Drosophila melanogaster: one gene and its partner. The protein of the gene in region 1 interacts with the protein of each later gene in a pairwise test. Each region holds a gene or a part of one and is shown on either strand. Other genes may lie near its edges.

The links.
Region 2: the proteins of Mabi (region 1) and sip2 interact in a two-hybrid assay, tested with the Drosophila melanogaster proteins (one large-scale study listed by BioGRID).

The regions. Positions count from the first base shown.
Region 1 is NT_033779.5:13,233,285-13,236,392, forward strand, and holds Mabi (mabiki), read right to left. Parts: upstream 1,377-3,108; 5' UTR 1,312-1,376; coding exon 691-1,311; 3' UTR 514-690; downstream 1-513. UniProt on the Drosophila melanogaster protein: Plays a role in inducing apoptosis and is involved in the repair of head patterning defects in the embryo caused by extra maternal copies of the homeotic gene bicoid.
Region 2 is NT_033779.5:6,960,993-6,965,859, forward strand, and holds sip2 (septin interacting protein 2), read right to left. Parts: upstream 3,083-4,867; 5' UTR 2,947-3,082; intron 2,864-2,946; 5' UTR 2,826-2,863; coding exon 2,752-2,825; intron 2,685-2,751; exon of another isoform or gene 2,664-2,684; coding exon of another isoform or gene 2,641-2,663; exon of another isoform or gene 2,563-2,640; coding exon 903-2,562; intron 839-902; coding exon 599-838; 3' UTR 524-598; downstream 1-523. Other genes in the region: Hmgcl (3-Hydroxymethyl-3-methylglutaryl-CoA lyase), read left to right, coding at 1-481; Coprox (coproporphyrinogen oxidase), read left to right, coding at 3,527-4,699.

The sequences.
Region 1 (3,108 bases):
CAATTCGATTACAATGTATTTGAAAATATCGTAGCTACTAATAGCTAAAGTGTTTAGTTTAACTTTAAGTGCGACAATGACAGCTGAGCGATGGACGGGAATAGGAGTAGTTATTATTTAAGCCCACATTCCCGTAGCTGCGGTTTCAATCGGTTTACGGCTCTATTGCCAGTGGTTTGACCAGGGTGCAGGGTTAATACCCAGTGAACTTTATCCGACTGGCTTGATATTCTCCATGGGGGGAGGCAATAGTCGATGGGGTCACCAATAACGATTTGCTCCAGGGGCTGATGATTGCCTGTGACACCACGCGAACTACCCCTGGGGATTAATTGGGATTTATTTCGATGGCTCCACGCTTTATTATATTTTATTAAATTTATTTATATATATTTTTAATATATTCATTGCTTCATTAGCGCTTGATTACTTTTTCTGCCAATGTCATAAATTAATATTTATACCATTTTTAGAAGGAAGATTAAAAGTCAAGCACACGATAAAAAATCAATTAGCCGTAAAAATTAAATCCTCATATTTTATTTATTAAGAAGTTCCTGCTTAACCTTTTAAGGCATTTATACTAAATATATACTAAATTTCTTAGCACTAAAAGTTCTTGAAGAAACTTAACAACTTAGCATTAATATAATAACTATATAATACAATCCTAAAAGGAGATGGACGTATCTAAGCATGCTCCTGTTTAATACCACCTATCAGGTAGTCGATGCTAAAGTTACTCTTGGTATTCTCCTCCGGAACTCTCCTTGAGGATACTAGCGGGTGGTCTTCCTGCTTGACCAGCTGCTTCAGATGATTCAAATAGACCCTGGCACGCAGACTCTGTTCGGCGATCTTGAGGTGCTCATCGGAGCACTCCTTGTACTGCTGTTCGATCTGCAGGTCATCGAACTTCTTCTTCCGTCGACTCATCCTGCAGGCAATTGTGTTCTTGTTGCGGCGCTCCTGATCCTTCGGTGAACGCTCCTTCTTCGGGAATTTTCGCACCATATTGACGTGGTACTTGAAGATGTCTTGGATGGCCTCGGTTATGATGGGGCTGGCGGATTGGTAGGAAACGCTTGAGGATGAGGATCCCAAACGACGACGCTTTGGCAGTGGAGGAAAGTCAGCATCCTGATCACTGAAACCCAAGCTGACGGACTGATTTGCCGCATCGAAAGGACTCCGACTGGTGCAGGGTGTGCCGCTCCGGGAGATTAGCTCTTCCTTCAGCTGCAAATCGCATTTCTCAATCTTTCGACCCATGTCGAACTTTTTGTGGCGATAGATCTGATGGTGCTCCATTGTATGGTATGATATGCTATGGTTATGCTATGTGTGTTCTACTCGAAGACTCTCGATTGAATGCTGTCCTGTGGATTGGTACACTAGCTTATATGGCGAAAGCCTTATCTGCCGCTCTTCGTAATCCCCCCACAACTTTTATAACTTTGTTTACACAAATCGACGACGAATTTTCTTTTTGCAAAACGAAAACAAGATCATAAACCCGCTCGATTTGCCTGCGCACGCGTACATGCCACCCAATCCCATACCCAAACCCAAACCCAAAACCCAACCCATCCCACTTACCTACTTGTAAGCCCACCCGTTGGGCATCCCTATCTACTGGTCATGTTTATTCTTGCGTGCGTTCAGCTGGGATCTTTTGAATTTCAGATACAATACAATCCGAGTTTTTCCGGATCAGTAGGTGGCGAAATGCGCGCCCATCGATTGTCTGGGTTCATTCAATTCGTGTTTGTTCCTCTTTCAAATCTATTATCTGCTGTGTTTTTCAATGTCGCCGCCTTTTGTAAAAGTCATATATATATATACATATATGGATTTTGGGCTACTCTTGTTCAATTGGCCTCTATTCGAAAAGTGTTTTGCGGCCTCATTTGTCCAACTCCCTTTGTATCCTGCTGTTGATAAGGTGTGTGTGGCACTGATCTTTTGTTTTCCGTTTGTTTCCCTTTTTTTAGATATCACTTCTTGGAACTCGGAGTGCCATTTCTGGGTTTGCAGTTTAATGCCGAAGATGACGATAAGATGACGTCTATTTGGGGTTGCAAAAGGGCACATTCCTGTAGACAGTCTGCGTCTGCTGATAACGTGCGTTTATCTCTTTTGTGCCAGGTCACTTGATAAATCGTTGTAAACTCAGCGCATCTTAAAACGATCCTAAAAAAAAAAGTATTCGAAAATTGGCCTGCGTAAAATAACCTACTTATTTGTTTGTTAAGAACTGAGGTTTTCCGAATTAGTATAAAGATTTGTTGTACGCGTATGACTCATTTCCAACCTTTTAAGCTTTGACAAAATCGACGTACGTTGCCTACTAGACACACGTGACTAAATAATCACTAATCAAGCACTTTAAAAATTGCCGTAAGGTGCAAAAAGCAGAATTAGCATTAGAGCTGTTAGCACGGCCACGCTTGACACCAATTGTTTGATTTATACTTTCATTACTACTTACTAGTAGAAACAGAAATAGGCAGTAAAAGGTTCTGCCTTTTCATTTTGAGGGTATACACAGATGTATATTTTACTAGGCCACAAAATTGCAGTAAGTTAAATAAAGCCTCAGTTAAATGCATTAGCATTAGCATGGAAGTACAGGAAGAATAGTTTCAAGCTCTAAAAATTGAAACAGTGATCTTAAGCCCAAGTCCCCGAGACATTTAATAAGGTGGTACGTTTTAATTAGCCGCCTGGGACCAAGATCTCCAGCACCATCTCCATCACCAAGTCGAGGAAGCATCCAAAGCGAGTCGGATCACTTGGGACAGCTGCCGGTAGTTGGTAGGCGGTTATGTGATGAGTATGTCGGGTCGCACTGGGGTCGCGATAAGTCAAATCGGATGGCTGGGTGGCTTCCACTTCACGACTTTACGGGGGAATTTAATAATGTCGTTTGTATTTCGCTACTGTCTACTGTCTACTGTCTATTGACTTTTGCATTTGCTTTGTTTTCTACAGCTGCGACGGCGATTAGTTTCAAGCTATTTTTGTTATCCACCCACCACCCACCGCCCACCGCTCCGCCCACAAATCCCTATTATTTGCTAATGCCGAGCATCTGTGTTTGTGCCT
Region 2 (4,867 bases), 6.3 Mb from region 1:
GGTTGGCTGCCCGTACGAGGGTGCTGTTGCGCCGAGTGCTGTCGTCAAAGTGGTGGAAGCCCTGTACCAAATGGGCTGCTATGAGATCTCATTGGGCGACACCATTGGTGTGGGCACTCCAGGCACAATGCGCCGAATGCTGGATGAGGTGACCAAGGTCGTCCCGGCTAAAGATCTGGCCGTGCACTGCCACGACACTTATGGTCAGGCTCTGAGCAACATACTGGTCTCACTGGACTATGGCATTCGGGTGGTGGACTCTTCCGTTTCTGGCTTGGGCGGATGTCCTTACGCCAAGGGGGCGTCAGGCAACGCAGCCACCGAGGATGTGGTCTACTTACTGCACGGCATGGGCCTCGATACTGGCGTCAACCTAGACAAACTGATCCAAGTGGGGCGGTACATCTGCACCGAACTGGGCAGAACCTCAGAGTCCAAGGTTAATCGAGCGTGGAAGGGACCGCAGGCGCGAGTTAAGTGATGATGCAAGCATTGATACTATCAAACGAAAACGAAGGCATTTACTAGCACTAGTTACACAATACATTTATTATCGTTGCAATATTTAGTCAAGGAGCGTGAAGTACTTTTATGGGCCTTAAAACTTTTGGGCATCTCTTATTGTGTATAAGGACACGTCGCCTGAGGCGAGCGACAGATCAGCCAGGCTGTGATTGGCGCGTCGTGGGATATGCGAAGACGACGGATTGCGGACTGCCTCGCCGGGCATTTTCATTTTGCCATCGTGGCGCATAACAGTAGGCTCCACGGCGGAGTTGAGGTATTTTTGAATTTGAGGTACCTTCGGCATGGGCAAAGGAGTTCGTTCATCAACCACCTGTTCAATGGAAGGTATTAGTTTACGTTCACTCATCATGGCTTATATATAAATTTAAACTTACATGCTTGATTTCGGAAGATATGTAAGCCTTTTTGGGAAGCAGATCAGCGGCTGAATCGATTCCATTGATAATTAAAGATTCCGCTTCACTGGACTTGGGTGTTTCGTCCTTTGTTGCGAAAAGTGCTTTAGGATGACACAAGCGAGACTCCTGCTCCAACTCACTGATGGCCAGTGTAGATAGCATATCAGAACTCGTTGGACGGAATGTACTCATTAGCGGAGCAGTACCAGACTTCTGGGTGTAGGTGCGTATGGGACTGACTATGTTGGCGTATGGCTGCTTTATCTGATTTTGGCGACGCTGAGGAATACCAGAGGCTGCACTGAAAAATTTCTTTTTGGTCCACTCCATGGTGAGGCCGACATTGAGCGGCTTTCTACCCGTGCTAGATGAACCTACAACTGTTTGTGGCTGATTAGATGACCGCAGCGGAATTGATGGCTGCAAAAAGGCTACAGCCGGTGATTTTGGTTCCGGCTTCGGTGAAACAACGAACGTGCTTTGTTTGGTCTTGGGCAGCACAGGGCAATCTGCCTTGACTGCGGCGACTGAAGGAGCCCCACCTGCCATGTACTCCATACCCTTTTGCATCATGTACTCCATTTCTTCCATGGTATCATTGAAATGCAACGAATTTTCCTTATTTTCAACGCTCTTCTCCGCTGGTTTCTGCTCAGTGTGATCTTTTCCGTGGACTGAGGACACACGGGACGTGTCTTCTTGTTTTACTTCTGGAACTAGCTGCACTTCTTCATCGTCAGAAGAGGATAGCTCGATTATTGTATCCTCTATATCGTCCTCTTCCTCCTCGACCTCATCCTTCGGAAGTGAGGCCAGCTCTCTAAGACTGCCATGAAGATCGCTTAAGAGCTCCAGCTCCTCTCCCTTGGACATTCCTGGTGGCTTGGCCTTGGCAATTGCGGCGTAAAACAATTCGTCGACGTTTAGGAGCGTTCCACTGAGGGAAGTATCCGTGGCTGTTTCGTAAGAACTAGATGCATTTGTCTTTAGGGTGCGAGCGCTTTGGAAGCTTGTGTGTGAAGACACATCAGACGACTCCAGTTCGCTGTCTTCGATGATGGTTGAGGGGCGAAGCAGCCCCACCATTTTGACAGGCGAAACCTTGGTCAATGCTTTAGGAGTCAGCCCAGAGTCGGATGAGGTCTCGTCCATTCCGGCCAGGGTGTTGTCCCAAAAGCGCGACGGCGCCTCAATGTCCTCCAGGTGAGTGCACTCCGCCCCCTTGACGGGACTTTCGTTCTCCAATAGATCGTCTTCTGTACCCACTGCCTCTAGCATGCGACGCAGTGCATCGATCTCTTTCTGATCGTCGGTGCTATGATCCCTAGCCCTGGCCATCACCTGACTCCGGTCCTCGCTGTGCAGGTACTGGAAAAGAGTGCTATCCGGATCGGAACCGGTTTTGTCGCACATGCGCTCAAAGGCACTGAAGCTATCATCGCCATCGTCCAAGTGCTCCAAGTCACCTGCCTCGTACATAGTATCCTCGCCGAGATTAACAGTCCTTTGACTGGCAGAATTAACGGCCAGAACTTTCTTGGCCCGCGCCTCCAAGGGTCTCCTCAAATCCTCGTCGATCTCCAAACTATAGCGCATATCCTTCGTTTCGTCCATTTTCACGGGCTTTTTCGGCAAGCTGAAAAAGGAAAACTGTTATTAGTTTTCTCAACTAAATTGTATGTGTGTCTAAACTGTCCAAACTATTTATGCGTACTGTTTCTCTAACAATTTTGACATGCAGGTGGCTTGTTTGAAAGTAAATGACTACAAATTCATCGAACACTAGTGCAACACTATCCAAGGATGGGTTTCAATGTGTATTTACCGCTCGGTCATTAGAAACTGACGGAGTTTCTGACGCCATTCCTCAGTGTTTTGGAATTTCTTGAGGCCAGACATCGTGAGTGTGCGAGTGTGCGTGTGTCCTGGGTGCAAAACTCCAGTCGACGGGATAAACACGTATAATTGCGCGTTGACTATAGTTCAGAGGATTTAGAGTTCGCTCCAGTCGATCACCTACCTTCTGGCAATAGTATTCACGCAGATCTTCCTTAATCTTCAAGGCGCACACGCAAATATTTCATGGATTTCTTCACAGCACGCTCATTTGCCAACGATCGACGCGCCTTTGCAGTCGTTTATTTCAAATGCCACGACAGAGTGCCCGTATTGCGCTTATATTTTTGAATGGGGTATTCCAATGGACACTACACATATACATCATCGGAGTTATATCACTTATAACAAATAATAATATAAAATTAAGACAAATATGTCTACCATTAAAAGCAATTGTACTGCTCCGTAACTTTTAACATATATTATTTATTATTATTATTTTGTGTATATATACAGACATATTGAGCTAGCTAGTGTTCTTAACAATATATAATATTTTTATAAGAACGTTACAACTTCTTGTATCTCTGTAAATAGAACAAAATCGCGAGCCCCCTATTTTCGGTATATTTTGGTGATATCACGGTCACACCGGCGACTATGCAACTAGAAATGCCGGGTCAGTGAAAGATAACAAACAAACTGCGTTCGGCGAAAGTACTTAAGTTAAGTTAAAAATTTGAAGTAGGCGAGAGCACATAATGAACGCACTCCGTCACACGATATCCCTGGTATCGCTGGGCACCTTTCAACTGGTGCGCCGGACCAGGGGGCCGCACGCCAGAGGCTTTCTCCTCGGCACGGGATTGGGCCTGGCCAGCTTTTCGGCGGTCACGTACGCACATTCCGCGGAGGCTGTCGACCCAAAGGTCAACGGGGTGCAGATGAACACCTCGCGGTTCATGGCCGAGCCCATCACCGACTCCAAGGCACTGCTGGGGGACAAGGAGAACATGCGTCATCGCATGGAGATCCTGATCATGGAGATCCAGGCGGAGTTTTGCCGCGCCCTGGAGGCGGAGGAGAACTGTGGCCAGAAGTTCAAGGTGGACCGGTGGGAGCGGCCTGAGGGCGGAGGCGGCATCACTTGCGTCCTGCAGGATGGCGATGTGTTCGAGAAGGCAGGCGTCAATATATCCGTGGTCACCGGTTCGTTGCCCCCGGCTGCAGTACAACAGATGCGGGCTCGCGGCAAGAATCTGAAGGAGGGCGCCTCGTTGCCGTTCTTTGCCAGCGGTGTGAGTGCCGTGATCCATCCGAGGAATCCCCATGTCCCCACCATTCACTTCAACTATCGTTATTTTGAAGTGGAAACTGCCAAGGGGGAGAAGCAGTGGTGGTTTGGTGGCGGCACGGATCTGACGCCCTATTACCTCTGCGAGAAGGACGCCTCCCACTTCCACCAGACGCTGAAGTCCGCCTGCGATGAGCACGATCCCACCTACTACCCGCGCTTTAAGAAGTGGTGCGACGACTACTTCCGCATCAAGCATCGCAACGAGAGCCGCGGCATTGGCGGAATCTTTTTCGACGACATCGATTCGCCCAACCAGGAGGCGGCCTTCAACTTTGTGTCAAGCTGCGCCAGGGCCGTGATTCCCTCCTACGTGCCGCTGGTACGAAAGCACAAAAATCGGGAGTATGGCAACAACGAACGACAGTGGCAATTGCTGCGCCGCGGGCGCTACGTGGAGTTCAATTTGATCTACGATCGTGGCACCAAGTTCGGTCTATACACGCCTGGAGCCCGGTACGAGAGCATCCTGATGTCCCTGCCCCTGCACGCCCGCTGGGAGTACATGCACGAGCCCAAGTCCCAGTCCGAGGAGGGCAAACTGATGAAGGTCCTGAAGAACCCCAAGGATTGGGTCTAAGCTATTTTTAATTGTTCTTAAGAGGGAACCGGTGCCTTTTGCATTATATTTAAAACTTAATGTGTACATATTGTAATTGTTGTTGCAAATAAACATGACAAAATGTTATTGTTTCCTAACTATTTATCCATATTTGAAAAACTAGTTTATTCCATTCAACATACAGTA